3 linked regions of the Ovis aries genome follow. The protein of the gene in region 3 purifies or fractionates together with the protein of the main gene of each other region. This does not show direct contact. Links are inferred from orthologs where the notes say so. Each region holds a gene or a part of one and is shown on either strand. Other genes may lie near its edges. The genes, in order: GADD45B, GADD45A and MAP3K4.

What was found.
Region 1: the proteins of MAP3K4 (region 3) and GADD45B purify together in Homo sapiens (co-immunoprecipitation; 3 studies listed by BioGRID and IntAct, counting the BioPlex papers as one, with this or other methods). This does not show direct contact. The link is inferred for Ovis aries from reciprocal best matches to the Homo sapiens genes MAP3K4 and GADD45B.
Region 2: the proteins of MAP3K4 (region 3) and GADD45A purify together in Homo sapiens (co-immunoprecipitation; 3 studies listed by BioGRID and IntAct, with this or other methods). This does not show direct contact. The link is inferred for Ovis aries from reciprocal best matches to the Homo sapiens genes MAP3K4 and GADD45A.

What each region holds. Positions count from the first base shown.
Region 1 is NC_056058.1:18,905,943-18,915,913, forward strand, and holds GADD45B (growth arrest and DNA damage-inducible protein GADD45 beta), read right to left. Parts: upstream 6,196-9,971; 5' UTR 5,964-6,195; coding exon 5,920-5,963; intron 5,817-5,919; coding exon 5,715-5,816; intron 5,313-5,714; coding exon 5,090-5,312; intron 4,823-5,089; coding exon 4,709-4,822; 3' UTR 4,066-4,708; downstream 1-4,065.
Region 2 is NC_056054.1:43,320,506-43,330,572, reverse strand, and holds GADD45A (growth arrest and DNA damage-inducible protein GADD45 alpha), read right to left. Parts: upstream 5,723-10,067; 5' UTR 5,494-5,722; coding exon 5,450-5,493; intron 4,919-5,449; coding exon 4,817-4,918; intron 4,570-4,816; coding exon 4,332-4,569; intron 3,274-4,331; coding exon 3,160-3,273; 3' UTR 2,596-3,159; downstream 1-2,595. UniProt on the Homo sapiens protein: In T-cells, functions as a regulator of p38 MAPKs by inhibiting p88 phosphorylation and activity.
Region 3 is NC_056061.1:84,489,731-84,499,095, reverse strand, and holds part of MAP3K4 (mitogen-activated protein kinase kinase kinase 4), read right to left. Parts: intron 9,140-9,365; coding exon 9,023-9,139; intron 6,873-9,022; coding exon 6,773-6,872; intron 6,595-6,772; coding exon 6,511-6,594; intron 6,230-6,510; coding exon 5,966-6,229; intron 4,036-5,965; coding exon 3,886-4,035; intron 771-3,885; coding exon 609-770; intron 191-608; coding exon 57-190; intron 1-56. UniProt on the Homo sapiens protein: Component of a protein kinase signal transduction cascade. Activates the CSBP2, P38 and JNK MAPK pathways, but not the ERK pathway. Specifically phosphorylates and activates MAP2K4 and MAP2K6.

The sequences.
Region 1 (9,971 bases), on a different chromosome or scaffold from region 3:
ACCGATGGGTCAATCTCTGGTTATTCATGTGTCCAGATTTGGCCTTGAATCTTCATGCCAGGAGCACTGAGGGTACCACAAGGGGTTTGGCCATGAGGGGCCTGGTGGGGGTGGAGGGAGGAGAGAGGTGAGAAAAACACAGATGGTAAAGAATCTGCCCATAATGCAGGAGACCCGGGTTTGATCCCTGGGTGGGGAAGATCCCTTGGAGGAGGAAATGGCAACCCACTCCAGTATTCTTGCCTGGAGAATTCCACGGACAGAGGAGCCTGGCGGGCTACAGTCCATGGGATCACAGTGTTGGACATGACTAAGTGACTAACACACACACCCAGCCCAGTTGAATCTGAAGCCTAACCCAGGAGACAGTTAAGGCACAGGGCGGGTGGCAGGATGAAGTGTCCTTCCAAACCCTCCAAGACAGGGGTGAGGTAGGGGAAGCAGATGGAGCCAGGAGATAGGCTATCGGGGTCCTGCCTGCCTGGAGGGCTTCCCTGAGGAGGAGGCAGGTGAGGTGAGGACAAGGGGGTGTGTGGGTGTTAGCTTGCAGAAAGGGAAGGACAAAGGGTTCTGGGCAGAGGTTAGAGGGCCAGGTGTGCAAGCAGCCACTGGACCTAGGGTGGGTGTGCAATGACGCAGGCCAGGGGTGGGGTGGGACGCCTCTGCAGATTCTGGGCTTCAGGGAGGTGCTAGTGCTGCTGGGGTCCCAGGGACACAGGGCAGGCAATACAAGTTCAAACTTTGGCAGGGACACACACCCTGCAAAACGGATGAGTCCCCAGATACAATGCAGGTGAGAAAAGTAAGACACAGAAGGCCGTAGAACATGTGATTCCATTTCTACGAAACGTCCAGAACAAGGAAATCCAGAGATAAAAGAGTGGATTCGTGATTGTCAGGTCTGGAGGAGGATGGAGATGACAGCTAATGTGTGTGCGAGTGTGGGTACCCTGAGAGGAGCGTGCACCCCAGTCAGGCATGTACCCACCTGAGAAAGAGTGCTGGCCTGTACCCTCTGGCTCCTGGAACACAGCCCTCAGCAGTGGCAGCCTCAGCGAGGGGGTACCTGCAGTAGTGGCCAAGCCTTGGTGACCTATGGCCACTCCACCCTGAAATCTGGTGGGGGCAGGAGTGTATTGGGGAGCAACCTGCCCGATCCCTGTACCCCTGGGTTTTTAAGACTCTTGGCCAAGCCCGGGCTCCTCCACTCTGGGCCTCAGGCTTCTCTTCTGGAAGATGGAACAACAGTATCGTCCTCAGTGGACAGTGGTCAAGTTTAAGGGTGTTTGCATGCAGAGAAGACTGAATCAACGAGCTGCTGTTAACTCCGCGGAACAGCCTTTGGGTTCCGGGTTCCGTCAGGAAGACTCAATGGTTTTTTTAACGACAGCAGGAGCAATAGTAGTAATAATAATGGGAGAACTAGTGTGAGAAAGTAAGAGCCATGACCTCGAACGTTCCCGTGCTCGCGCAGTGGCAGCCGAGTTCAAAGCCTCGGTTCGCCTCTCCTCGGTCACGCCCATGTGAAAAGCCACGCCCCCTACGAGCCTTTGGTACTTCGCCTGCAAAGAGCCAAATATCCGAAGTTTAAATCAAACCGGGTCAGGAACGCTGCACGGGGAGAAGCAGAGGGACAAATCAGCTAATCCTCTCATGATTTACAGGTTTTGGTCCCCAAGGGATTTTCTCTCTCTCTTTTAATGTTTGCATCCGAGTTAAAAATACATGGCTTGAAAATATTCTTTATCTTGCCGACTGAGTTTTTGGGCGCTTGCTGCCTTAACTTTTGCACGGAAAGTGTGTGCCGCTCGCCTCACCCTAGTCTCGGCTCTGCTAATTCACAGGATGGCTGCGCGAGGATTAAAGGAGACGATTCTGGAAATGCAGGGAACATAACAACAGTGCTGATAACAGCCCTCGTCGTAATAATGGGTAATCCTTTTAATACATTTTGTGTCAGGGAAGCTAATCTGAGGAATATATATTTCGTTTAACCTCAGCAATTTATGAGGCAGGCAGGTAGCATTATTATTCCCCCTTTTCAGAAAGGGAAACTTTAAAGGCACAGAGAAGTTAAGGTACCAGCTCAGGGTCACAAAGCTGAGGTCCTACCCATGCCCTGTGTCTCCCTGGAGCCCAGGGGCCTGGGATCGTGTCCCCACTGCACAGGAGACTTAGGGAGGAGAGGGTCAGAGGCCATACGGCCCTTCTGTGTGGCCAAGGTCAGGACGGGGACAGAGCGGCCCACACCCACGGGCGGAGCCAGCGGGAGCTTTCCCACAAGCTGACCCGACTGGGGGATCTCCAGGTCAGCTCTGGGACAATGAACCCCCCCCTCCTTAGCTCTTCCGCATCGCGCCGCGCCCCGCCCCCACTCTGAGGTCTCGGCCTCTGCCCCCTCTCCCGTCTCTGGGCCCTATCTCAGGGATCCTTCTCCTCATCCCCCCCTCACCCCTTCACAGGCCACCTCCATCACGCGGGCCTTCAGTCCCTTCACCTCCCAACTTCAGCAGGAACCCCCTCCCCTCTCCCCTCGGACTGTCGGCTCCTCCTCCCCCCGCTCGAGTCTTCTCTCTCACTTCGCGCCCCCACCCACTACAGGGATTCCTTGGCCCTTCTCCCCCTCCCGCTCTGGGTGCCCCCTCGCCCCACACCCCTTTCTCTTCAAATTCCCACCTCTACCCCCCAGGGCTCCGGTCTCTCCACTTACAGAACCTCCCCTCCCCCAACCCCCTACAGGGATTCTTTTCAACCCCCCTTAGGCCCGTTGGACCCCCCTCCTCTCCCGTAGGCTACCCACCGCAGCCCTCTTGTTCTGCCTCCTCGAGAGCCGGGTATCTCCTCTTAGCACCTCCCTTCCCCCACCCCCTACTGGGATTCCGCCCCCTCCCCTGTGCTGGGTGGGGGTGTCCTTACTCCCTCAGGGCTGCTTATCTCCCTCCGGGCTGCTTAGGCGTCTCCTCTACCCCCCAGATCTCCCCTCCAGGAGGGATCCCCGCCCCGCCCCCACCTCCCTCTCTGGGACTTCCCCTTGCTCTTTTCGCTCCCCCATCCTCCCCCGGCGGGGCTCCCCCCAGCCCCGTGACTCCCCCGGGGCCGCCGGGGTTTTCCTCGCGCGCCCACGTGGGGCTCCGTGGAAAGGTCGCGCGGCCTGGGCTGGTCCCCGGGTCGGGTCGCCCCCCCCCCACCTGGTTCCCAGGCCCGAGGTGCAGGGCTGAGGGGAGGGGATGTTGCGCAGGTGTCGCGAGCCCACACCGCAGGCTCCGGGCAGGAAGACTGAAGCCGGAGTTCCAGCCGGGCTGCGCTCCTAACCGCCCCCCACCCCCGCCGCAGGGGGTCACCCACTTGAGACTTTGATAGAACAAGGAGGTGGACGGCCAGGCCTCACAGTTTCGATTTAGAGGCAAAGCGTAGCCGCGTGCCAAGCCCAGCTGGGCCGGGAGCACGACTTCCTCGGGTATTTTGCTGCTTGTTGATTTAAGTTTGAGGAATGAAAAAAAATTTTTTTTCTTCAGTGGAGTGAAGAGGCCCATCCTAGGATGGAGCAGGCTTGGGTGGGGGGGTGCCCTCTGGGAGATCCTCAAAGTTCTTCCTGCTAGGCCCTAGCTCAGGGGCAGCTCTGAGCTCCAAGCCCACCTCGCTGTGTGGTCACAGGTGGCCCCTTGACCTCTCTGGAGCTGCGCTGCGGTGGCGGCTGAATAGGCAGGGGCTGCAGCCAGCCCCCCAGGGGTGCGTCTTCATGTGCCCAGAACCTGGGGTTGGCTCCAGCACCGCCAGTAACAGCAGCCACACGGCGGCCAGGTTTCGTAATAAACCGGTCTTTTAATTGCTACGGGGCAGGACGGGGGGAGAAGAAAAAAAAGAGGCAAAGATTTGTTGGACTTGGGTGGCGCCGGCTGCAGAGAGAAGAGGCACTGTTTTTGCAAGGAGCCTGGAGCGGCTAACTCGGACTTAAGTAACACTTCCTGGTGAGCCTGCAGGAGGGGGTGCAGGGGCACACTGCTGGGGTGGGAGGGCGTAGTGGGGGCTGGTCCCTCACAGGGACTGCAAATACACAAGAACCCAGAAGCTTTAAAAATTTATTACAAGGCATCATAGTAGAAGTAAAAATATATGTATCTGTAAGCTTCCCCTCTGTCTTTCAGTGGTTCAAGTAACAAGTGCAAGTAACAAAATAGATTGTCAATATACTGAGTTTGCAAGCTGGGAGTTCATGGGTACAGAGCAACATGAGCCCCTGCTCCCAAGTCCCAAAGTTATTGTCCGGGCCGGGCTGCCGACCCTAGGCCAACCAAGGCCCGTTTTTTTGCAGATGTCAGCTCGGGTCTCAAGAAGGGTGGGGGCTGCAGTCGTCAGTCCCACCCCACCCCCGAAGTGTGGAGCCCAGGCCCTCCTTGGTAGGGGAAGCAAGCAGCTCCCTGGCTCCTGCGTCTGCTCTGTCACCAGGCCTGAGCTCCCGGGTCCCCTCTCCTGCTGGCCCGGGTCCTGTCTTCTCCTCACACCGTGGCCGCCGCTGGCCCCCGGCTCCAAGCTTCCCGCCCTGGGGCGGCCGCGCACTCCCTCTCCTGTCTTCAGTCTCCAGCGATCCTGCCCCCGATGGTCTCACGGGTTGGGTTGTTGGGGGGGTTGTTCTGGGAGGGAGGGGGGGTCAAATATTTATGTGGTTTTGTGTTTTCGGCAGCAAGAGTTTCCGATGCCCGGCGGGGTCTCAGCGCTCCTGGAGGGAGATGTAGGGAACCCACTGGTTGTTCCCCCTACTTTCTTCGCAGTAACTGGCCACCTCCACCAGGCCGTGGCTTTTCCAGGTGTCTGTATGAGGGTTCTGTGGGAGGGCGAGAAGAGGGGGTTCAGCAGGAGCCCCAAGGAGTGGGTGGGGAGTGTCCCTCTCCCAGGGCTCCCATGGGGAAAACAGGCTGGCTCAAAATAACTCGCTAGGTGAAGAGGCCTGGAGGCTAGCAGGTTGCCCACGGGACATGCCAAGCGTGGCTGAACGCTGAGCTGGTGCACACCGGCCAGCTCCACTTTGTTGACAAACACGGGCCCAGGTGCCGGGTGGGGGTGGGGCAGGGCGGAGCCCCAGTTTGCTCACCGTGACCAGGAGACAGTGCAGGTCCCGGGCCTCGGTGGTGCCCTGGGTCTCGGCCGGCTCGCCCAGCAGCTGCGCCAGGCGCTGCATCCCCGACACCCGCACGATGTCGATGTCGTTGTCGCAGCAGAAGGACTGAATAAGCGTAAAGTGGATCTGCAGGGCGATGTCGTCCTCCTCTTCCTCGTCGATGGCCAGGAGGCACAGGACCACGCTATCAGGATCCCTGAGGGGCCAGAGGGGGATGGGTGGGTCAGCTGGGGACTCGGAAGGGCCCCCCTTCTCGTGCGGCGGGGAGTTTGCAAAAGCAGAGAGCAACTGCAGGTGTGCAGGGGATGGCATCTGCAAGCAGATGCTGGGGTGGGGGAGAAGACGCTCGGTTCAAAGGCCGGGCGTGGGTGGGGGGTAAGTCAGGGACATAAACAGGCGACTGTTTGCAAGTGATGTAGCCCCAGCATACTGCAGCCTCCACGCCTCAAAAAAAAAAAAAAGGGCAGAAAGATCCCCAATCCACAATGGGGACACTTGGGGGTGTCCCAGACCCATGCAAGACAGGAGTGCAGGAGGGAGATTGCAGAGCGGAGAGGGTCCCCACCCGCGCCCAGCCGGGAGACAGAGTCTGACTCACACATTCATCAGCTTGGCCGACTCGTACACCCCCACGGTGAGGCGGTCCTGGCGCTGCGCGGCCACCAGCAACTCCTCCACCGCGGCGCTCACCGTCTGCATCCTGGGGCCAAGGGAGAGCGGAGGTCAGCATCAGGCCAGGCACGGGGCGCCCCTTCCCCACCCGGCCCAGCCTGACCTCAGGTGGCAGGGGCGCCACTACTTACTTTTGCGCCGCGTTGTCGCACGCCACGAGCTCTTCCAGTGTCATGTTGCAGTTATAATCCACAGTGGAAAACAGCCTCACGACAGGTTCAAGGAAGAAAATGCAATATCCAAGGCTGGAAAGCCCAAAGCCTTCCCACGGAGACCAAGCGTTCGTCAAGACCTTAGGAAGGCAGCGAAATCCACCCCCAAAAAAGGCGGAAAAAATTGCAAGTGTCTCAGCAAGAATAATCCAAGTAGCAACTGCAAAAGATCCGAGTGCTCGGCGTCAGCGATCTGAGCTTGCGGCGGCAGGCACAGCCTTTTATAGACTAAGAGGTTAGGGGGCGAGGCCCCAGTGACCCGTTCGCCCCTCCGATTGGACAAAACACAAAGGCGAGAGAAATTCGCGCTGCGGTTGGTCGGCGGCGGGGAGGGGGCGGGGCGCCGCGCGGGGGTGCCCCACGTGGGGGCGAGAGCCGGGAGGAGGGCGCCGGGAGGGTGGGGGTGGAGCCGGGGGGAACTTGAGTGCCAGAAAAGAGAAAAAAAAGCAGAAGTTTTCTCTTATTTCCCGGCAGCCGCGCCGCGTTTCGGGGCGCGCGCGGGATTTCCAGCGCGCGAGGCGGCCCAGACTTTCGAGGGGGGGGGCCTGGAATCCCCTCCCGGTCCCCGGAGAGTCCCCGGCCCGAGTCTTTCCAGGTTCTGCAGCAGTTTTACACCGAGAGGGAGCCCAGTCTGCAGCCCGATCCCTAGGTGGTGGGGGGGGGGGGGGGGGGTAGCCCCAGGCTGCAGAGACCCCAGCCCCTGGGTGACTTTACTTTCTGGGCGTTTCTGCCCTTATCTGTCTAATGGGAATGCAAAGTTGGCCTCATTAGATTGCAGAGTCCTAAATAAAGTGAGGGATGCACAGTAAGCGCCTAGCACGCGGTGGTGGTCGCAGGAGGCCGCCTAGATCCCCCAAATTGCAGGCTGCGAAAGCGGCCTCAGAGTTCCCACCCGTCCTATGACAATGCGCACCGGCCTCACTGGGTTGCAGGAAACATTAACTAATAAGTGGAGTACACAAGAGACACTTGATAAATATCGCCTGGTAGTCTGGGAGGTCGCCTCGAGTTCCCCAGAACCAGGGGCTGCAGAGCCCAGGGCCGAGACCCGGTGCCCCCTCTCCAACCCCGCGAGTTTCAGGGTGGGGCGCGCGTGGGAGGCGCAGGTGGCTAGGCCTCGCAGGCTCCACGCCCCCTGCAGGCGCCTGGCATTGCAAGGTTTGACTGCCCCTGCTCACAGCGGCTCTGTTGGGGGAAATCCAGCCCGAGAGAGGGCGAAGGGAGCCGGTTCATCTGTGAGCCACGCGCTGCCACCTTTGCGCGCTTACTGTGATGGTGGCCGCTTTTATTCCCTCCGGAGTGGGCGCTGAATGTATGGAGCGCGCGCTTGGCCCCAGGTTCTCCGTATCACGGTTCATTGAATCCCCAAGAACCCGGGAAGCATGGGCTATGCTTATCTGCAGGATGCAAAAGGGTAAACTGAGGTTTGGTGGGGCCTCCACTAATTCAAGGCCCCAGTTAGCTGGTGCTGGAGTTACACGTGTGCGCCAGGCGCGGCCGCGCGCTCGGACAGCCGCCAACCACGCCATCTCCCTGGGAAAGCAGTTCACGAGCCAGGCGGGCAGGCCCGCGTGGGACTAGCTCCCACGGTCGATCGGGGGCTCCCGTATGACTCAGCTGCACCCCCACCCCCGCCAGCCTGGGGTCTGGCCTCGGCCTTAAGGCTAGATTCCCCCAGCTCCCCGGCCTGCGGTCCCGCTGACGCATCGCGCCGCCTCCGCGCCGCCCACCATGGGGGCGCGAAATGTCCCGGGCGCTGCGAGGCGCGGCGGCGCCACCTGGTGTCCACGCGAGGTCCCTGCGCCCGAAGTTCCGGAAGGGACCAACCGGCGGGGGCGGAGTGTAGAGGAGGTGAAACACCCGGAAGGGGTAACAAATGCAATACTTTATACACACATACACATATATATGCAACATGTATTAACAACTTTATAGATTTAATTTTTAAATCAAACTACTGCCTAGGCTACTGTGGTTTTTTTTTTTAATGGTAAAATATGCACGATATTTATCATTTCGATATTTGTAAGTATACCAGTCGGTGGCATGATATACATGCACAGTGCTGGGTAACAATCACCGTGATCTAGACCGAAATCTTTTCTATCATCCCCGGAGTAAACTCTTGGGAATGGAACACGAACTACCCCCATCTCCTGACACCCACCATTGACTTTTTGTCTCTATGAATTTGATCCTTTAGGGACCTCATATAAATCGAGTCATACTGTATTCGTCCTTTGAGTCTGGCTTACTTAACTGAACGTAATATCCTCAAGACTCATCCACAGTTGTTCATTCATGTGTGTGTCACAATTGCCTTCTTTTTGAGGCTGAATAATATTAGACTGTATAGATGGACCACATTTAGTTCATTCATCTGTTGATGGGCACATGGGTTGTTTCTACCATTTGGCTATTGTGCACCCCATTTTTTGTCAACAAAGTTTTATTGGGACCAAGGGCAGGGGTATAGAGTAAGGGAATCGAGGTACTCACCTCAGGCACAAATTTTAAAGGAATGCCATAAAACTCAGTCATCAGTATAACATTATAGGGACTTGCCTAGCAGTCCAGTGGTTAGGACTCTGTGCTTCCACTGCCAGGGAGAGACAGGTTTGATCCCTGGTCTGGGAACTAAGATCCTGCAAGCCACATGGTGAGGCCAAAAGAAAAAAAAAGATAAACAATATCTTAATATAATATTCTTAACCAAAATCTATGCCCCAAGATCCCCATCCATGATGAACAAAAATCAAGGTTTTAAAACAAGCATTATCTGACAGGGTCGGGGGTAGAGGGCAGGGAGGTGAGTTGTTCACTTGCAAGTTTAAATCCTGACTTTATTTCCAATTTTGATCTTTTCTTCATGATGATTTTTTTTTTGCATTGATTTTTATTTTTGAAAATGTTACATTAAAGTATTTGTCTTGGGACGTCCCTGGCAGTCCTGTGGTTAAGACTCTGTGTTTCCAATGCAGAGGGCATGAGTTTGATACCTGGCCAGGGAATGAAGATCCCACGTGCCATGGGGCATGGCCAAAAGAGGGAAAATAAATAAATGAAATATTTATCTTGATGATTGAGCTTCGGGCACCCTCTTAAATTTTTCTCCTAAGGTTGGTGCAGCCATGAAAATGTCCCTGTCTGCTCTAGAAGAGGTGACCCTGTCCTCCGAGGGGGAAACCCACACCCTCCTCCTGGAGAACCTGTGAGTTGGGGACTTCCCTAGTCAGAAAATTGAGCATATATCCACATTCACCTTGCAAATGAGATTCCCTTGTCTCTAGAACTGATAAATGTAAGTGCTTTAAAATTTAAATTTACATTGCATTCAAGGCACACATAAGAGGACTACCTGGTGGTCCAGCAGTTAGGACTCTGTGCTTCCACTGCCGGGGCATGGGTTTGATCCCTGGTCAGGGAACTAAGATCCCACATGCAGTGGCCAAAATGAACCACGTCGATATGCATAAGAGCAAACTTTTCTTGAGGATTTATTACATGCTAATTTTCATTCCAATCCCAAAGAAAGGCAATGCCAAAGAATGCTCAAACTACCGCACAATTGCACTCATCTCACATGCTACCAAAGTAACGCTCAAAATTCTCCAAGCCAGGCTTCAGCAGTACATGAACTGAGAACTTCCTGATGTTCAAGCTGGTTTTAGAAAAGGCAGAGGAACCAGAGATCAAATTGCCAACATCCACTGGATCATGGAAAAAGCAAGAGAGTTCCAGAAAAACATCTACTTCTGCTTTATTGACTATGCCAAAGCCTTTGACTGTGTGGATCCCAATAAACTGTGGAGAATTCTGAGAGAGATGGGAATACCAGACCACCTGACCTGACCTGCCTCTTGAGAAATCTGTATGCAGGTCAGGAAGCAACAGTTAGAACTGGACATGGAACAGCAGACTGGTTCCAAATAGGAAAAGGAGTACGTCAAGGCTGTATATTGTCACCCTGC
Region 2 (10,067 bases), on a different chromosome or scaffold from region 3:
CAATTCAGTTTGAGGGACACTGGCCTGGTGTTAAATCATGCCATTGAGAGTTTTATTCATTTAAAGGAACCACATCTCACTGCTTGCAGCCTTCTATCAAATCTCAAAGAATAAAATTGAACCCATATAGTTGAAAATTGAGGAAACAATGATTTTATAAGGGTTATAGCAAGGCGTCTCAAAACATGCTTTGACAACACTTCCAATTAACAATATACAAAACAGCTCTTTCCTAGCCATGACACTTTCTTCATTTGGGAAATAAAATATGCATTATGGGAGATTACTTACCTTCATGAGTCCTTTCATTATAGAAATTTAATTTACTGAGGGTCTTGACGAACTACAGGAGGGAGGAGTCAATACCATTTATGACACTGAGGTAAAGTTGCCAGTGGGAAAAGTAGGTATTTTCCACAAACAACACACCTTAGAAAGAGGAGGGGACTTCTGTCCCCGCTGTAACATTTCCACTTACTTGTAATAAGCAGGGTTAATAGCATTTAAAGCAACAACTGAAAAATACTAGCAACATTTAGAGGCAGAATCTGCCCTGGTAATTGCATACTTGTTTACAATTAACTCAATTGTTTCAGAGTGGATTTTTCAACGCCTGTTACTTTTGTGTTATGTTCAATCAGGAAGGAATAACAACTGTTAATACTTAAAAACTGAGACTTCAAAATCCCGTGAATTGTTGGGATTTTTCTGAAAGCAAACAACCTCAAGGATGCACACTACCACTTTCATCTCTCAGCACTAAGAGTACACATGCAAGACACTTCTCTTTGAATACGTATATCGCGTTATAAGCAACAGATTTTTCTGATGCCTTGGAAGTTTTCCTATTGCCATCGCTCCAGTTTTAGTAGTAGACACACTGTATTGACACCTATCAGGTGCCAGGTAGATTGCATTCATTATTTGTAAATCAGAGTCAGACACAGTGAGTGACTAAGAACATACATAAGCCGCTCCTCCCCACTCTGCCTTCCGAGTTTAATTTACTCATCTCTGCAGGAGGGTCTTTAATCAAGTAGTTTTGGGAAAGAATTGGAAGTATTTTTACTTAATGGGACGGAAAAAAAATCTGTTTAAAACTCTCTGCTTTCCATCTTCTGATAATGTAAAAAACAACTATTAAATAGCAGTTACATTTTGGATCAGGCACTAGCTTAAATAAGATACAAGCCTAAACAAGGACTACAACTCCACATTTCTGGTAGATGTGGAAAAACAGAAACTTAATTGCAAGGTGAAGGGCTCATGTGCCTATGTTATTCCTAAGATATGCAGAAACTTGGTGCTTTTTGTAACTCTTAGCTGGCATTTCTCTCCTCTGATTTCTACTTTTTCCTGATTGTATGTAGTCATGACAAGGGTGGGAGACAGATGGCCCAGGAGCCATGGGGTGTTGTGGGGGAGGGTATGGTTTGAGAAGTAGGCAAAGAAAAATCCCGAGTACCAAAGCTATATTAGGCCTCTCCTCAGTAGGCATTTTTGCTTTCTTTGGCTGGATGTCCAAAAGATTGTTGCAGTTAATTATCAAGTGACTGTTCCAAGTAAAAGATGACTGTTCTGCTAAAGCCTTTCATTTCTTTTGCTCTTTTTTTCCCTCTCCCATCTAATTTAGACAAACCCCTCAGAACCATAGCACACACATTCAGCTGAAAGGCACACAGCTCTAGAAAGAGAAAAATGGCACCAAAATCTTCAGCAAGCCACTCCCTGTTTCCTGAATGTGCTTCTGCAAAATGCACAGCCTTGGACGGTTGCGGTCACTTTCCAATTGGCCTTCTCACCTGTGGCAGCTTATCCAATAACCCGTCTTTCAGTGCCCAGCGTTATCTTCCTGAAACACTGATCACGTCACTCCCTGCGTGAAGGCGTCTGCAGACGGGCCAAAGTTTACAGAAGAAAGCCCAAATGCTAAGGGTGACATGGAATGCCATTCCCAGTCTGGGCCTAATCCCACCTACCTTTCAGCCTTATCTCTCCCTTATCTTTCTACGCCAGAGGCACACACGGAATCACTCTTGGTTCCCTGAACAGGTTTTGGTCTTTCAGGCCTCCACACCTTCCCAGAAACTAGTGCTGCTGCTAGCAATATCCTTTTCCTGTTTTAAGATCCAAACAAAATGATCTCTTCCCAGGAAAAACTTCACTGGTCTTGCAGGTAGGTCTTTGGTGACTCCCTCCCCTCTGCTTCTATAACATGTTGCATATAATATTAGAGCACTTGTTATCATTTAACTGTATCCGTTTTGCAACTGTAATTTCCCGCACCACTTTTCCCTAATTCCAACCCAACTTCTAAATCACCTTTGTTTTTCTGACTTTTGGCGTAGGGTAGAGCAAGGCATCACTAAAATGCCCACTAAATAAATAAAAACCAATATCATGCCATGTTCAGCCCAAATGTTTTGAGTAGAAAAATATTTTATATACATACATACACACACATCTATATATACAGATGCACATATACTATATATACATGATTTCACATGGGTTTTAATTTTTCCATATTGAAAAAGAAAACTTGTTTAAAATAAAGTACAAGTTAAAGAAACAAAAGTACACATTAAGAAATGATGCAATTATTCCATACCAGTTTATTGTAGATATTGTGTTTCCAAAAATTTATAGCATAAATAACTTTTCATGTCATAAAATAACTTAGTACAATTTATAATAAAACTTTGAGAATTTAACATCTCATCAAAATACAATAAAATATGGTTTTAAAATATGATTAACCCTTTTTTTTTTTTAACTTGAGGGCATAAAAACCAAAATTACCCAAACTATGGCTGCACATTTAAACTTTAACAAAGCATATTGGGTTTATTTAAATGTAACTCAACCATCCTAAATTAATACATAGTTTTGTTTTCCTTCCTGCATGGTTCTTTGTAATTTCTGTTCCTTTTGACTTGTATTTCTGTTTCCACACAGCTTCCTTCTTCATTTTCACCTCTTTCCATCTGCAAAGTCATCTATCTCCGGGCTCCCAGAACATGTAGTTGAACTCACTCAGCCCCTTGACATCAGTTTCTGTAATCCTTGCATCAGTGTAGGGAGTAACTGCTTGAGTAACTACAAAGGTATTTCAAAACTTCAGTGCAATTTGCTTCAGTTATTTTCATTCAGATGCCATCACCGTTCAGGGAGATTAATCACTGGAACCCACTGATCCATGTAGCGACTTTCCCGGCAAAAACAAATAAGTTGACTTAAGGCAGGATCCTTCCACTGTGATGAATGCGGATTCTGGGAACAAATTTAGAGAAAACAAAATTACTATTTTTTAAAAAATCAGACTTTGCTACTAATTACAATACTTCTGAGGGGAAGACGCTTGAACATTCTATACTTTGGCAGTGTTACAGACCACTTAAAACCATTAAAAAATTTTTTCCAGGTAGTTGGGTTTCCTGCAAAATCATTAAGGGTAATTCTCTACAAAGCTATACTCTGCAAAGTCTGAACACATGCAACTAACTGAGTCATATATATGTTTTCATATTTATTCAGTTTTTACCTGAGAGTATTATTCATAGGCTTGTCCTACCAAACTTGTACCTTGGTGGACACCTGAGAAATACTTCAGTGCTGGGCTACCAGGAGTTTAGAGCTGCAGAGCAGTTAACTAAAACTGCCACCTGTTATCCTCCCAAAAGAGAGAGTAGTATTTTTCAGGAGTAGCAAAATAATGAGGCTGCCACTTAAGGAGATCAAACTGTTCCAAAATGTAAAACACAAAACAATCACATTTATCTCTGTAAATACAAGTTATCTACCTTTCAAAGGTTTTTAAGGGGGCATGGGGGCATTTAAAAAACTTCAAGACCACAAAGAAAAAATTTCCACTCTATCCTCTTAATGTATTTCTAGGGAATTAATGAGGTCTGTCTCCTACACCATTTCTATTTTTAGCTCTGACTGGCAGAGAATGAAGCTGACTCCTTAATGAGGGTGAGCCAGGAATTTATTTGGCTTTATCTAATCTGCCCTGCTAAAGGAATTAGTCACGGGAGGTAGTGCAGATGTAGGTAGGGAGTAGCTGGACTGACAATGCTGAGTCACAAGGATCTCTTCCGCTTCTGGCAGCCTCCAACGTGCTTAGACACGTTCTGTCCCAGAGAAAATCCCCATGATGAAACTAGCACATCTCGGCTGAAAGTCCAGCCACACGCTTTAATGGGGCAAAGGCTCCCGTCTCTTAACCCTCGCCCATTTCAGATCTGGAGTCAGGCGACTCTCAGCACTCACGAACTTCCTGCCAGGACTCTAACCTCGAGCTGCCCGCAAGTCCCCTTCTCCCTTACCGTCACCAGCACGCAGTGCAGGTCCGGGGGCTGCTCTGCGCCCTCGCTGGCTGCGGGGCCCGCATCGGTCTCCAGGAGCAAGAGTTCGGCCAGCCGGCCCGGGTTGCTGACACGCAGGATGTCGATATCATTCTCGCAGCAGAATGCCTGGATCAGGGTGAAGTGGATCTGCAGAGCCACGTCCCTGTCGTCGTCCTCGTCCGCCGCCAGCAGGCACAGCACCACGTTATCCGGGTCGCTGCGGGCAGGGAACGAACGGGCTGGTGAGCCCAAAGGCAAGCCCCGCCGCGTGGCAGCCTGCACCCCCCGCCCAGGTGTCAGGGGTCGCGCCCGGGTCCGCTCACTCCCCCTGGGACAAGTAGCCACGGGACAGATGGCACGCGGCAGGAAGTGGCGCTGCAGGGCGAGGGGAGACCAGTGAAAGCGACCTTCTCTGGCTAGGGCGAACAGGAGAACCAAGAGGGTCACGCGAGGGCTCCACTTACACGTTGAGCAGCTTGGCCGCCTCGTACACCCCGACGGTGATGGTGCGCTGACTCAGGGCTTTGCTGAGCACTTCCTCGAGGGCATCCCCCACCTTATCCATCCTACACGCGGGAAGAAGCAAGGGGATCCCGTCACACTAAGCCCCTCCGGGTAGTCGCCGCCTCCTCGCCCTGCACCGCGACCCTCCCAACCGAGGGCACGCGCAATAGCGCCCCTCGACCTTTTGCAAACCAGGACTCCCTGGGATATCATCCCCTTCCCCCCATAACCCTTACGCCCAGAGGCCCGGCATCCTGTGAGCAGCCCCGAGAGTGACATCCGCCACCCTTTCCCTAGTGCTCTACTAGTCCTTGGCGCTGGGTGCAGCCACAGGCTGTCGGCCGCAAGAGCTGCACGGGCAGGGACGGTCACGTCTGCCGTTTGCAAAGCCTCGAGGGGCTCGACCGGCGTGCGGGGTACGCTCTTCCCGTCCACGCGCGCCTCCGGAGTGTTCCAGAGGAAGAAAGGCGGGATAGGAGGTACCCGCTGCAAACTTTGAACCACTCGCTCCCCATTAACCTTGCATAGCCCAGCAGCACCGGAGTGCGCGCAGGAGGCAAGCAGAGTTCTGGCAGAGGCTCTGGCCGACTTACCTTTCGGTCTTTTGCTCTCCAGCCGAGAATTCCTCCAAAGTCATATTGCAACTGCAGGTCGCCCACAGAGAGAGAGCGGCGTGCGAGCTGCTCCTGCCACCGGCGGCGCGCGGGCGCCTGCTTTCCACACTCCCCTGCAGGCTCCTCCAGCGCCCGCCACCACCGCGCCGTCCGCCCCTCCCGCCCCGCTCGCTCGCTTGCTCGTTAGTCGGCTCTCAGCAGCCCACTCGCCGCTAACCACGACACTAACTCCACAGCTGCCCCACAGCCACTGAAGGACAAAGGCCCCGCTCCCAGGAGTTATCCTGCCAACCCCCAGCCAACCACCATCCTCTTCATTTGCATACGCGCAGCCATTGGGCTATGCAAATCAGCCTGTTCAGACAATTTGACCTCAGCTCCAGGAACCAGGCGGAGAGGAGCGGAAGAGGGAGGGGCCAGGAGGAAAAAGAGCCTAGGGGGCGCGGGCGGGCGGGGTTCCGAGCCTACTCTCACCCGGTAGGCGGGGCGGGTAGGAGCGGAGATCTTCGTAGGGGGGCGGGGAAAGGAGGGTGTCTTCAGCTTGGGCTGGAGCTGGCTGCCAAGTGTTTTTCTTGCTGGTGCGCTTTTTTTTTTTTAATTGTCGTTTCAAGTCTTTTGTTTTGGGGGGCTGCTATTAACATCTATTTTCAGGGTTAATGCACCCAAGTCTAGTAATTATTAGTACGCAGGTTATATAAAAAGAGTGTATCCAGACTTCTGGGGCAAAGTTTACCTCAGAAGTGTTGTTTATGTAAGTCTAAGCAAAGCTGCTTATTAGTAGTAGTATTATTTCGGTGCCCTGATGGCTGGTTTGATTTATTTTTGGAAACTTGCAAGGGTTGGAAGCTCAAAAAAGAAAAATCAACACATTTGTGTTTGGTGGTGGCAGGAAACCAAGTTGGAATCTTTTATGCAGAAAGCAGAAAGACTTCCCACCTGCCCAGGGTAACTGTGGAAAACTGAGTTCAGGAGGAGCTGGTTACTACATGTATAACCATTTTATCCTAGCCTCACAACCCCAATTCACCTTTCTCAGCCTTTCCCAAAGGAGGATCCTTCTGCAGGGCACCAGCTAAGAGACAAAAGTCTGACACCCACACAAGGCACACATCTAAACTCAAAATGCTCTGGATATGCCCTCAGCTTCCTTTCATAAGGCAAGTATGTCACTACCTTCCACAGGGGGCCTATGATCTCACTGTGAATTATTGATGTTAGTTGCTGAATCATGAAGTTGCCGCTATAGGTCCTTTTAGTCATAGGCTAAAATTTCACCTTTGAGATAATGGCAATCTGTGGGTGGAAAGAAAGTAGTAGTTCTACATTTTTGAAAAACAAAATTGAATGTAGAGTTTGAATCGGTTGAAAGTTCTTTGTATCATGAGTTTATGCAATAAATGCAAAAATATGTGTTAAACCTACTGAAGTCACCAAAAGTGGTAAAAAAAGAAAAAAAAATACTCCCATATGCTTGCTTTCAAAACAATGCTTGCATTTTTAAGGTCACTGTACAGACAAAGGTCACAGAAGTAATTTTCTGCTAAGTTACAAGGGAGTTTTTGTACCCGTATGTTCATATCATTCTAGACAAAATATTCTTCAGCTTTCTTGATCTTAATTTAGAGGAAAAGAAAAGTGATAGGTCAGGTTTTCTGGCTCATTTATTTGAGCTGCCATTTTGCACTTCATCTCTTAACTGCATTGTCAGCAAGGGACAAGTTTTGACTAAAGGAATGGTGCTGGTCTGTGGGTCATTTACCCAGAAATGTATGTTTCATATCCATACCTTAAATTCTAACATGTAGCGTCTTTTAAAGAATTCCTTTAAATTGGAATTTAGGTAGGTGCTGAAGCATTTTCAGTTTTGCAAACAAAACCTGAATTATGCAATCTGGCCTGAGTCATCATTTGGAGACTGTTGAACTCTGTTCTGTGGAACTCCAAGGTTCTACTCACTAGGTATTTCTTAGAGGTTCCTTGGAAGAAGTATGATCACTGTAAACTGACAGCAAATTAGGAAATCGAGTGAGTTTCTTGACAGCAGGGAGTGTGACTTCATCAACGTGGTATTCTTGGCACCTACCACAATTTCTGCATTTGGTGGAAGCATGGCCAGTGTTCACTGAGTTAAGTAGAATCTGAATTGAACAATAAGATCTCAGAATACTGCAGTCCTGTGCAATGCATGAATTCTAAGATATTCCACATTTAATTTTAGTTCAAAAAAACTTTTTTGCTGTCCTACAATATACCAAGAACTGTACAATTCCTGGCCCTCTGCCTTTAAAGGGCTTACCATCTAATTATTATGCCCATGCTTGAACTGGGTTTGGGGACAAAATACTATGCACTGTCATCAGCCAGCTATGCTGAAAGTCCCATGACTTTAGTCATCTGAACGGAAACTGTAGGACAGTAGAACCCATGTATTGTTATTCCAATTCAAGTGAACCACAGCCCTGATAATACCCCACCAAGGTCAATTATAATAAGTAAAAATGTGGTATAAAAAGATTACTTCTTAATATAGGCCCAGTTTCTCACTCAACAAGTACACTGCATTCTTTATTTGATTTCAAGGGAAAGTGATTTGTTCAAGTGCTATGGGGTTGTTCTCTGTGAGATAAGCCTAGCCTTCCAGTATTCAAAAATATTCATCTGTCATACTTTCTGACTCAGATATGTTACACCATTTTGCCTCATTGCTGAGTCTGCCTAGACTGTTTCATCACTGATTATTTTGGTGTTTCACACTGGAAGTAGGAGCTGCATTTGTCTGCCACTAGATTGCAGTTATATATTAGGATGCATTTAGATGATACTGTTCATAAATGCTTATTTGTCCCTGGGGAGGATGGTATCCAATGATAAATTACAGGAATAGCCCTAGATAGGTACATATGTGTATATATACATTTTTCATATATTCTAAAAATAATCTGTATTAAAATATAATTCCAATATATATAATCATTTAAAAAATTATCCCAGGTAATTCCAAGTACTTCAACTGCACAGAACTGAATGACCTTCTGGTAATATTTATAATGATGCTAAATGGTTATATTTGGATGTTAGATAAAAATAAATTTATATTCAGGAGTTGTCAAATAATTTTAGCACTGCTGCCTGCTTTACATCTTAAAAGTCTTTTTTATTTTTTTCATTATTATCATACATATATTCTTACTACTGGTTCTGTAGTATAGAATGATAAATTTTCTCTCTTTCAAAAATTCATCAACCCTTTAACATCTGAAGGAAATATGATGCGTATTATTTCAGTACTAGACATATTATTCTTCACATTGAAGGATATCAATTAGTCTATGACAGATGTATTAACTATTAATACTTATCTAGAACTGTATTATATTACATTTTGTTGTTAAAAATCCTAAGGTTCCTGAAGTATTTTTTTGTATAAGTCTGGTAAAGTTAGTTTCTAAAGTCAGGCTCTCAATTTCCCTCAATTTTTTTCTCAAAGAAGACTGTTCAGACAATTTACACCTAAAAATGTATAATTTCATAAGATCAATATTTCCATTTGAATTTAACATAAACGTTTAGTTTCTTGGACCATCTGTAGGCAAATTCTGAGATGGCCTCAATGATCTCTAACCCCAATGTTAACCTTTGTATAAGCCTTTTCCTTTGCGTGTGGGTAGAACCCATTTCTTGTTTCGAACCAATAGAATATGTGTTGAGCTATCACACCCATGATTATGTTATATTCTATGACAAAGGTGAAAGTACTTTGCTAGTATAAGTATTTAGTTGACTTTGGGTTAATCAGGAGGAAGTTTGACTGTAAACTGATACAGTCACTATGGAGAACAGTAAAAAGCTAAAAATAGAGCTACCATATCATCCAACAACCCCCCTCCTAGGCATCTATCTGGAGAAAAACTTGGTTCAAAAGTATATATGCATCCCAGTGTTCACTGTAGCACTGTTGCAATAGCAAAGACATGTGGTAGTTGCTCAGTCCTGTTCAACTCTGTGACCCCATGGACTGTAGCATGCCACGCTCCTCTGTCCATGGGATTTTCTAGGCAAAAGTACTGGAGTGGGTTGCCATTTCCTTCTCCAGGGGATCTTCCCAACCCAGGGATTGAACCCGGGTCTCCTGCATTTCAAGCATATTCTTTACCACCTGAGCCACCAGGAAAGCCCTGAAGTTCAGATGAATGGATAAAGAAGACGTGGTACATATATACAATGTAATATTACTCAGCCATTAAAAAAAGAGTGAAATAATGCCATTTGCAGCCACTTGGAGGGACCTGGAGATTATTATACTAGGAGAAGTAAGTCAGACAGAGAAAGACAAAGATCATATGATATCACTTATACACAGAATATAAAAAAATGATACAAATGAACTTATCTACAAAAGAGAAACAGACTCACAGACTTAGAAAATGAACTTATGGTTACCAGGGGTAAGGTTGGTAGAAGGGATTAGACTGAGAGTTTGGGGTTTCTGTGTACACACTGACATATTAAGAATAGATAACCAACAAGGATCTACAGTATAGCCCAAGGAACTCTGCTCACTATTCTGTGATAACCTAAATGGGAAAAGTATTTGAAG
Region 3 (9,365 bases):
GGGGTGTCTCCAGCCCACACGGGGCTCAGGGAGGAGCCGCCCTGCGTGGTCATTACCTGGGTCTTGTCCCTCTGCCGCTCTCGCACTTAGTCAGCACGTAATTCATCCATTTCCGGGCAAAGCTTATATACTTGTCTCCTATCTTCTGTTTAAACTCGCCAGACATCAAACGAACAACTTCTTTATGATACTGTAAAAAGATTTCATGTATATCAAAATTAAGAAGAAAACAGTTACACAAATACTTAACATACTGTGTAATGCTGTTTAAACGTCATTTTTCTAAAAACAAGAAGCAAAAGCCAGTGAACTTTACATACTGTAAAAAGAGTGTGAAGAGTTACAGAGAAAATAATGTCTTCAAATGCAGTTTCACAAAGGTCTTACTCATAAGCTTAAATCTAAAAGCTGGGTATCTATCTGACAGTTTAAAAGTAACCCAACATTTCTGACATCCAGCAAGGGTGGAAGATGACATTCTGGACTAAGCTGTGATTACAATAATGGGATCAAGAGATGTGCTGTGCAAGATTCCTAATGCTTTTTGTCAGTAAGTCACAAAGCTATGGCAAAACTGTGCCGTGCTTTGCCTCGTATTTTGCACCTACCTCGAACCCGAAATTGTACCCTTGGATCATGGCTTCTCGGTAATACTGCTGCAGTGTAGCAGACTCAGATTCATCAACTTCAGCATCGAATTCTGAAGTGAACATGTGGTCCACTCGGTCAATGGCATCACTTATTCTGTTGCAGAGCTCTAAGGCATCATTCTAAAGAATCCCAAACCATGATTAATCCGAAACGGAACAGATCACACAACATCTATCCTATTTTAGAGGAAGGTTCCTCTCATCATCATACAGACACTGACCACTGTAATACAGTACAGTCATATTTATTTTGGTTATTCAAAAGTAATGACAAAAGAAGAAAAGTTTGGTATTTTTATTTGTATTAGGTATTCTGAAGACCTGATGAAATACAAGAGGAAAACAACCTATTTGAAATACCATGCCTGATTACATGGTGGTCTTTGAACAGACGCTTACAGCCTCAACATTTCTACACATCACCCACAGGTGTGTCTCCCCTTGGTGCTTGCTCAAATGTTAGCAGGATTTCAGTGCCACAGAGTAAACTAATGACATGTTTCTAAGAGACCTCTACAGTGTTACTAGTCACACTGTCCTCGTCCCCCTCAGGGCGGTTCTCAGCTGGGGCCAATTTTGCCACCCCAGGGGCATGGGCGATGCTGGAGATAGTTCTGGCTGTCCGGTGTGGGGAGGGGTGGGCACAGACTTGTGAAACCGGCTGGCATCCACTGTGCAGAGGTCTGGGATGCTGCCAGACATCCTACAACACACAGGTGTGTGCTGTGCTTAGTCACTCAGTCGTGTCTCACTCTGTGACCCCGTGAACTCTGGCCCGCCAGGCTCCTCTGTGCATGGGGATTCTCCAGGAAAAAATACTGGAGCGGGTTGCCCTGTCCTCCTCCAGAGGATCTTCCCAACCCGGAGATCGAACCCATGTCTCCTGCACTGCAGGTGGATTCTTTACCACCTGAGCCACAGGACAGTTCCCCAAACAATTACTGACTGGCCCAAAGTGTCAACAGTACGGGGGTTGGAAAGCCCTGCCCTAGCACAAGTTTTGTTGTCTTCCCTAATCAACAGTACAACAGCTCCAAACTCGGTTCCCTTTCCACTCACCCTTCAACACACACAAATATAATGACCCTTTCCCAACTGGGACTCCAGATGTGCTGTGACACAGGATTTCCCAGCGCTGCTTAAGTCTGGATGTTGGTCAAAACGCAATTTGGTGATGTACTCTCTGCTCTTTCTCTTTTCCTTTAACGTTAGCATATTGAAAGTAAGCTAGATAACTCTCTAATGAATATCTGTATCATTTATTTGTATATAACGAGCAGCTTATTTTATTAACAAATCCTTTGAACCTGAGATGAAAAGTGAAAGCTTTCGGCAAAACGTTAATTAGTGAGCGCTGTGAGCAGGATTTGTGAGACCAAATGCCACTCTTTAAGAAAATAGAGATTAAGCTTGATGAAGTTTTTATTCCCAGATGGGATGATTCACGTTATTGCTCGTTAGCTAGTGAATGGGATGTATTCACTGGATTATGTGAGAATTGGAACCTTAAGTTAAAGCAGGCCAAATTTTTAGAGGGCTTCCCTGGTAGCTCAGCTGGTACAGAATCTGCCTGCAATGCAGGAGACCCTGGTTCGATTCCTGGGTGGGGAAGATTCACTGAAGAAGGGATACGCTACCCACTCCAGTATTCTTGGGCTTCCCTTGTGGTTCAGCTGGTAAAGAATCCACCTGCAATGCAGGAGACCCTGGTTTGATTCCTGGGCTGGGAAGATCCCCTGGAGAAGGGAAAGGCTGCCCACTCCAGTATTCTGGCCTGGAGAATTCCATGGACTGTATAGTCCATGGGGTCGCAAAGAGTCGGACATGGCTGAGCAGCTTTCACTTTCACTACTCAAGCGAGTCCCCTATACTCTATTCCAAAATATTCTTCCAAAATCTTTGATGACTCTCTGGGGCTTAGAATATGAAATTCAGAATCTCCCAACAGTCTGATTTTTGCCCACCTGACTTTCTACCAGCCGCATCCCCCACTCTTTCCCACTGTATATACCAGGATCCAACCAAACTAGATGGATCCTCTGTGAGTGTTCCCATGACCCTGATCCATGGATGCCACGCCCCAGTGTTTCTCTCACTGGTCCCTTCCCAACCTACACCTTCAGAAACCCTCCCCAGCTGCAGTGCCTCCACAGCTGCTACTGGGAGGACCTGGTCTCCCGTCCTCTCTGCTGCAGTGTGACAGGTCAGGTCCTTAAGGCTACAAACTTTTCAAGCTCACGAACAATCAACATCCTATACAATTCTGTACTCTCCAGAATTCATTAACTCAAACTAAAAGAAAAAACAAAAGTCCCCTGCCCTGGTATTAGAATGGGGTGACAATCTATAAAGGGGCCTTCCCTGGTAGCTCAGTAGGTAAAGAATCTGCCTGCAATGTGGGAGACCTGGGTTTAATCCCTGGGTTGGGAAGATCCCCTGGAGAAAGGAACAGCTACCCACTACTATTCTAGCCTGGAGAATTCTATGGACTGTATAGTCCACGGGGTCGCAAAGAGTCAGACACGACTGAGCGACTTTTACTTCACAATCTATAAGGGAGAATGTTTACAGCTAAACAAGGCAAATCAGACTGGCAGAACAAAAACAAGCGTTTATCAAACTCCTTGTGATTTTAAGTGCTTCTTCAGGAAGCAAAGCCGTGATGTGACAGAAAACTGATGGCTTGTGGGACAGTGATGAATGGAGTACCAAATAAAAAGTAGGGGGAAACAGGAATAAAAGGCAAGGCTCTAGCTTGTCATGAACTCTGAAGGTCTTTCTGCCTGTCCACAAGCCACAGCTGGTTTTCTCTATTATAATCAATTTGACTGAATCATCTATTAAGTGAAACAATAAATCTTTTTTTTGTAAATTACACATTTTTGACTGACAGTACCTCTAGTAAACACTGGTAACTGCTAAAGGAGAAAGAAACTGGGTTAGGAAGGAAGAGACCTAAGGTCCAATACTAACCAAACATGTGACCTTAAGAAGTCACACAACTATTTAAATTTTCACCCTTTCCAATTCCAATGTTCCACAGTTCCAAGGAAGATGCAGGGAAAATTCTAACTTAGACACGAGACACGGGAAACGTGGGAAGAGACAGAGAATGGGGAGGACAATTGAAGAGTTCAGGTCCCTGGAATACTTAGGTTATAGCACACCAACTCTTCCCTTGCATTGCACCAAATGCAAATAAAGCATAGTGAAGACTGAGGTGACGATGGAATACCTTCAGCTGCTGCAAAGCTCTGGCGATGACGGGCTGACTGGAAGTCTGCTCCTGGCGTAGCGTCATGAGTCCTTCGATGGACTGCTGGAAAGCTTTTCTATGGATTATGAGCTGCGCGGAGTGCATGACAACTAGTAAAAGATTGTCCACCTGGGAAGAAAAGCGAGCACAGGGCTTAAACGCAGACCCAGTTGGCTGTCCACTCTAGTTCAACCCCCAGTCTCAAAGCACCACCGACCCCAGGGCCCCCCGGCCAGCAAGCACTGGATGAGAAAGCGCATTGTTGGACTACAGCTGCTCCCCTGGAGCACTGCAGCGGGCACCAGTGGCTAGACTCTCCAGCACAGCGGGGAGAAACCCCACGGGATGGTGTGGGCAGGCAGTGTCTGGAGTATGCTAGAACTCCAAGACACAATCCTCCTGGAGCGGGGACTGAGAGTGTGTGTCTGCACCGGAGCAGCGTGTGAGGATGAAAATGCGGGAGTAAGAATGGGAGGAGACGAGGGGCCTTCTATAAAACAGAAACCAAGACTGTATTACTTGCATTCTTTAAGTGACGGTCACCACCGTATTCTGAGTAGACATGTGATGAGATGTATGAATTGTAAGGATCACTCTGGAAGTACCAAAACGAGCACCGGATGAGAGGGAGGAAAGGTGAGGCTTGAAGCAGGGAAACTAGAAGTGAGGCCCTGCCACAGGAAAGGGGCGATCAGCTCCGACCCAGGAGCGGGCCCAGGGATGCAGAGGAAGGCTCCCTGACTGGAAAGGCTTCGGGGCGGGGGGAGCTGTTTAAGTGGAGGGAGGTGGGGGCTGGACGTTTATGAACAGCCACATCCTGGCTTAAACACCAGAGTGGACAGAGTGCCAGTCACTGAGACAGGGAGTACGCAAGAACAGGCGGGCTCCTGGCGCTGGGGGCAGGCGGCTGGGCTGTCCAGCTGAGTTCGAGGTGCGGGTGCGCACTCACTGCCACTCCAGAGCTGAGCACAGAGGTGGGAGGAGGCTTCTTACAGGTTGTGTGTGTTTGTTACCTGGAGCAGAATTCCTGTACAATGCTGGACGGCATGCTTCCGCTGCTCAACAGTGTGAACAGCTACATGTACGCACACACCCCCTCCCTCCGGGACCTCCGTGCCCTCATCCCACCCTCTAGGCCATCACGGAGCACCGAGCTGAGCTCCCTGGGCTACACAGGAGCTCCCCACTAGCTGTCTGTCCTATACACGGAAGAGTATGTATATCAGTGCAAGGCTCTCTGAACACAGCGGCTGCACAGCAGCACCCCACTAGCTGTCTGTCCTACACACGGAAGAGTATGTATATCAGTGCAAGGCTCTCTGAACACAGCAGCTACACAGCAGCTCCCCACTAGCTGTCTGTCTTACACACGGTTGAGTATGCATATCAGTGCTACGCTCTCTGAACACAGCGGCCTGAGCGGCTTCTTACAGTCTTAGTTACTGAGGCATACAGACTGTCAGAGGATCACTGCCAGGTAGGCAGCTGACAAGCTGACTACGCAGAAGAAGGGAGTCAAGTAGCCGGTGACAAGGTAAAAAGTTTGTCTTGTTTATAGAGTGATTAGCCGCGAAATCAACACTTGGAGAGCTGAGATGTCTGCAACGACAAACTAAATGAGGGACACAATTCCTTCCGGGTCACGAGTGGGTGCCTCTAACTGATGGACGTGGCTGAAGCGAGGAAAGACATAAAACATTTCAAATACTTCAGTACAACTAAAGAATCTCCCAGAATATTTTAGGACAGTAAGGAAATAAACTCGTCAAAACAGCAAAGTCCAAGCAGTACATGTTTCTGGGGCTTCCCCAGGGGCTCAGGGGTAAAGGATCTGCCTGCATTGCAGGAGACCTGGCTTCAGTCTCTGGATTGGGAAGATCCCTTGGAGAAGGGAATGGAAACCCAATCCAGTATTCTGGCCTGGAAAATCCTGTGGACAGAGGAGCCTGGGGGACTACAGTCCACGGAGTCAAAAAGAGTCTGGGACATGACTGAGCGAATTAAACAACAACAATGGTAACAATAACAACACTGCCTCCAGGCAGGGCAGGGAACGGACCTGCATGCTTCTCAGGGTGTCAACCGTCTCCACCGCAGGCACGATCTTGACAGGCTGCGCCTCCCAGGCGGCCCAGCCGTCCTCGGAGTCTGGAGTGCGGTCACATTTGGTCAAGAGTAGATAGTCGTCAATTAGTGCCTCGTCTGAGTCTTTGGAGCAGTCCTTCCCTGCAGCTGCGTTGAGTAACTGCAAAATAATGCTCTTCTCCTCAGCAAGAGCGTCTGGAACAAACACCTGCAAGTTTTCTAAGCCAGGAATTTGTACCTGGAAGAGAAACGATCCAAAATCCTGAATTAAAGAGCACCATCTATTACAGAAATGTTACTGCGCATGCTTCGGGTTCCTCATCTACATCCTTAACACGAGTTAGTAAGCACGGAGAGCTCGGCTTCTCTAGTTACAGTATCAGGAAATTATGGGTCAGTCTTAACATGGGGGTCCACATATCGACTGTGAAGCCCAAAACGTTTACTACCTACATCTTTAAGACAAATTTCTGTCTAGAGTAAGAAAGGTAAAATAATTCTACCGCCTTAACTACGCACCTTAACGTACTGCTTTGCTTTCAGAACGTCCAGAAGGTCTCTAACTGGGGCTGAAAGTATGAACTCTGCAGCTATTTCCAGGTCCTAGGATCACAGTTACAGAGAAACTTCTTTAGGGTTAGCTTTTTAAAAAATAAACAGACTTTGATGGAAAACAAGAAAATTCTGTAAATAATTACCCTTCAATTAAAAAATTAATTAATTTAAAAAATAAGATAAAAGGAAAAAAATAAGTAACAGCTCATCAGGACTGTGAATGCACCTTTCTCAGCATCTTGGCAAACCCCAGCGCCTTGGAGGCTCGTTCCCTGGCCTCGTGGAAGAGCTCCTTCAGTGCTCGGCTGACCTCTATAACCGACCTCCTGCCAGGCGGACAGAAACCCAGTTAGAATGCATGAGGGAACACCAAGAAATACACAATAAAGACAGAGCAGATTCCAACTCACGTTAATAAAGACTAAAAATTTTAGAAACAAGCAATTATTACGAATGCACTCGAAATATGCTGTAGCTTGCTCCCACAGTTTTCTGGAGAGTACTTGCAGATATCAGGTACACTGAGCAACCGTCAAAGGGCAGTGCACTCCATTTCCTGAAAGTTTCACTCAGTTCAGCTCAGTCGTGTCCAACTCTGCGTGACCCCATGGACTGCAGCACGCCGCCAGGCCTCCCTGTCCATCACCAACTCCCGGAGTTTACTCAAACTCATGTCTGTCGAGTTGGTGATGCCATCCAGCCATCTCATCCTCTGTCGTCCCCTTCTCCTCCCACCTTCAATCTTTCCCAGCATCACGGTCTTTTCCAATGAGTCAGCTCTTCGAATCAGGTGGCCAAAGTATTGGAGTTTCAGCTTTAGCATCAGTCCTTCCAATGAACACCCAGGACTGATCGATCTCCTTTAGGATGGATTGGTTGGATCTCCTTGCAGTCCAAGGGACTCTCAAGAGTCTTCTCCAACACCACAGTTCAAAATTAACAATTCTTTGGTGCTCAGCTTTCTTTATAGTCCAACTCTCACATCCATACATGACTACTGGAAAAACCACAGCTTTGACTAGATGGACCTTTGCTGGCATTTCATTAGGATTTCATTAGAATACATAAAATACTTTTGCCACCTGATGCAATTGAGAGCTGACTCACTGGAAAAGACCCTGATGCTAAGAAAGACTGAGAGGAGAAGGGGATGACAGAGGATGAGATAGTTGTATGGCATCACCGATTCAATGGACATGAATTTGAGCAAATTCCGGGAGATAGTTAAGGACAGGGAAGCCTGGCGTGCTGCAGTCCATGGGGTCGCAAAGAGTCAGACACGACTTAGCGACTGGACAACAACATCAGGATAACTCTTGGAGTAGGAATTAGGCTCTTGACTCTCGGCTCATAATCTAACTAAAAAGGAGCAGTGAACCAGGGAATATTTAACACCAGCTCCCCCTAAACTATTATCTTGTGTGGTGCTTGCCAATTTTCTTGGTGTGGATACACCTATCACAGAGGTTTTCAATCCACCAAAAGGACATCACTGAGCTGTGACTTGGGGGTGTGCACGACCCACAGGGGTGCCCTGGAGCCAGGACAGCCAGCCCCACACATCACTGTGTGTGAACCCCCTTTCTCGATCCACCCCCAGTAAACGATCAAAGCACTGTAAGAGCCATCCTCTGCTTCACCACCCCAATGACTGAACTCGCTTATTCTGAGTCTACCATGTCAGCGCCCAAAACGGCAAGACCTTCTATGAACTGATTCATTCCATTTCTCAATAATTCAGCATTTTCCCAGGTGAGAGCCTATGTAGTGACTTCTTTCTTTAATCCTGGTATAAAGAGATTCCGGTGTTATGAAACCCCAAAATGTGTTTTCTATCAAATGCTGGAAGGTGAGAGAAAACACCTCTAGAGAAGTTAGTTCCGCCTTAGCACTTCCTAATGTTGACTCACAGGGTACTGTTGATAACTGGCCACAAAATAGCTCTGAGTGGCACATAAGCCACAAAAACAGCACTTTAACATGGCTCACCCTCAATACTGTGTGCACACAACTGAAGGAAACACAGATGAACCAGTCACGGTTTCTCCTACTCAAGCTTAAAGTTCAACAGAAGGGGTAAGGTGAGTGTGAAAACAACAAAAATGCACCAAACGTCAGTTAATGTATTCATGGACTACTGCAGAGGCTTTAAAGGACAGAAACTAGTTAACTAAAGACAGTCCGGAACATGCGAATGAATTCTACCCTAGCAGTTCTTAGTCAACTGAAACTACATCGTCTCTAAGGATTAGCTTAAATAACAGTCACCTCCAAGGACAATTTCACATAAAACCATAACTAAGAGATCACACGAAAAGATGATACAGCAGTCACACACAAATCCCTTTAGATCTACAACCCACATTCTTCGAGTCCAACATGATTTGGCCTCAACAAGGGGCATATTATAGGCTCACTGCCAAGGGTAAAACTACATAAGATCAGAAATGGGAGAGGAAAGGAAATCAGCCCCAACCTTATTTCATCTGAAGCACTGCTGTCGTCGGCACTGTTCCAGAATTCTGTACAGCTCTCCTGTAAGCCAGCTTCTAGAAAGCTTCCTGTCGATTTCAGCAGCATTCCTGCAATGTCACTAAGGGAACAGAAGCAACAGACGTAAACCAGAGAAGAAAAACCGTCCCCCCTCAGTCTAACTCTGGAATGAGAAACTGAAAGATTGAGCTGGTATGTCGACAGTTCAAAATCAATGACAGTGACACTTCTCCTTTAACATAAAATCACGATTAACATGAAAAAAAGCAGAAATCGCGATCGTGGAATGTATCTACCTTTGTTCTACTACCAGTTTTCCATTATAA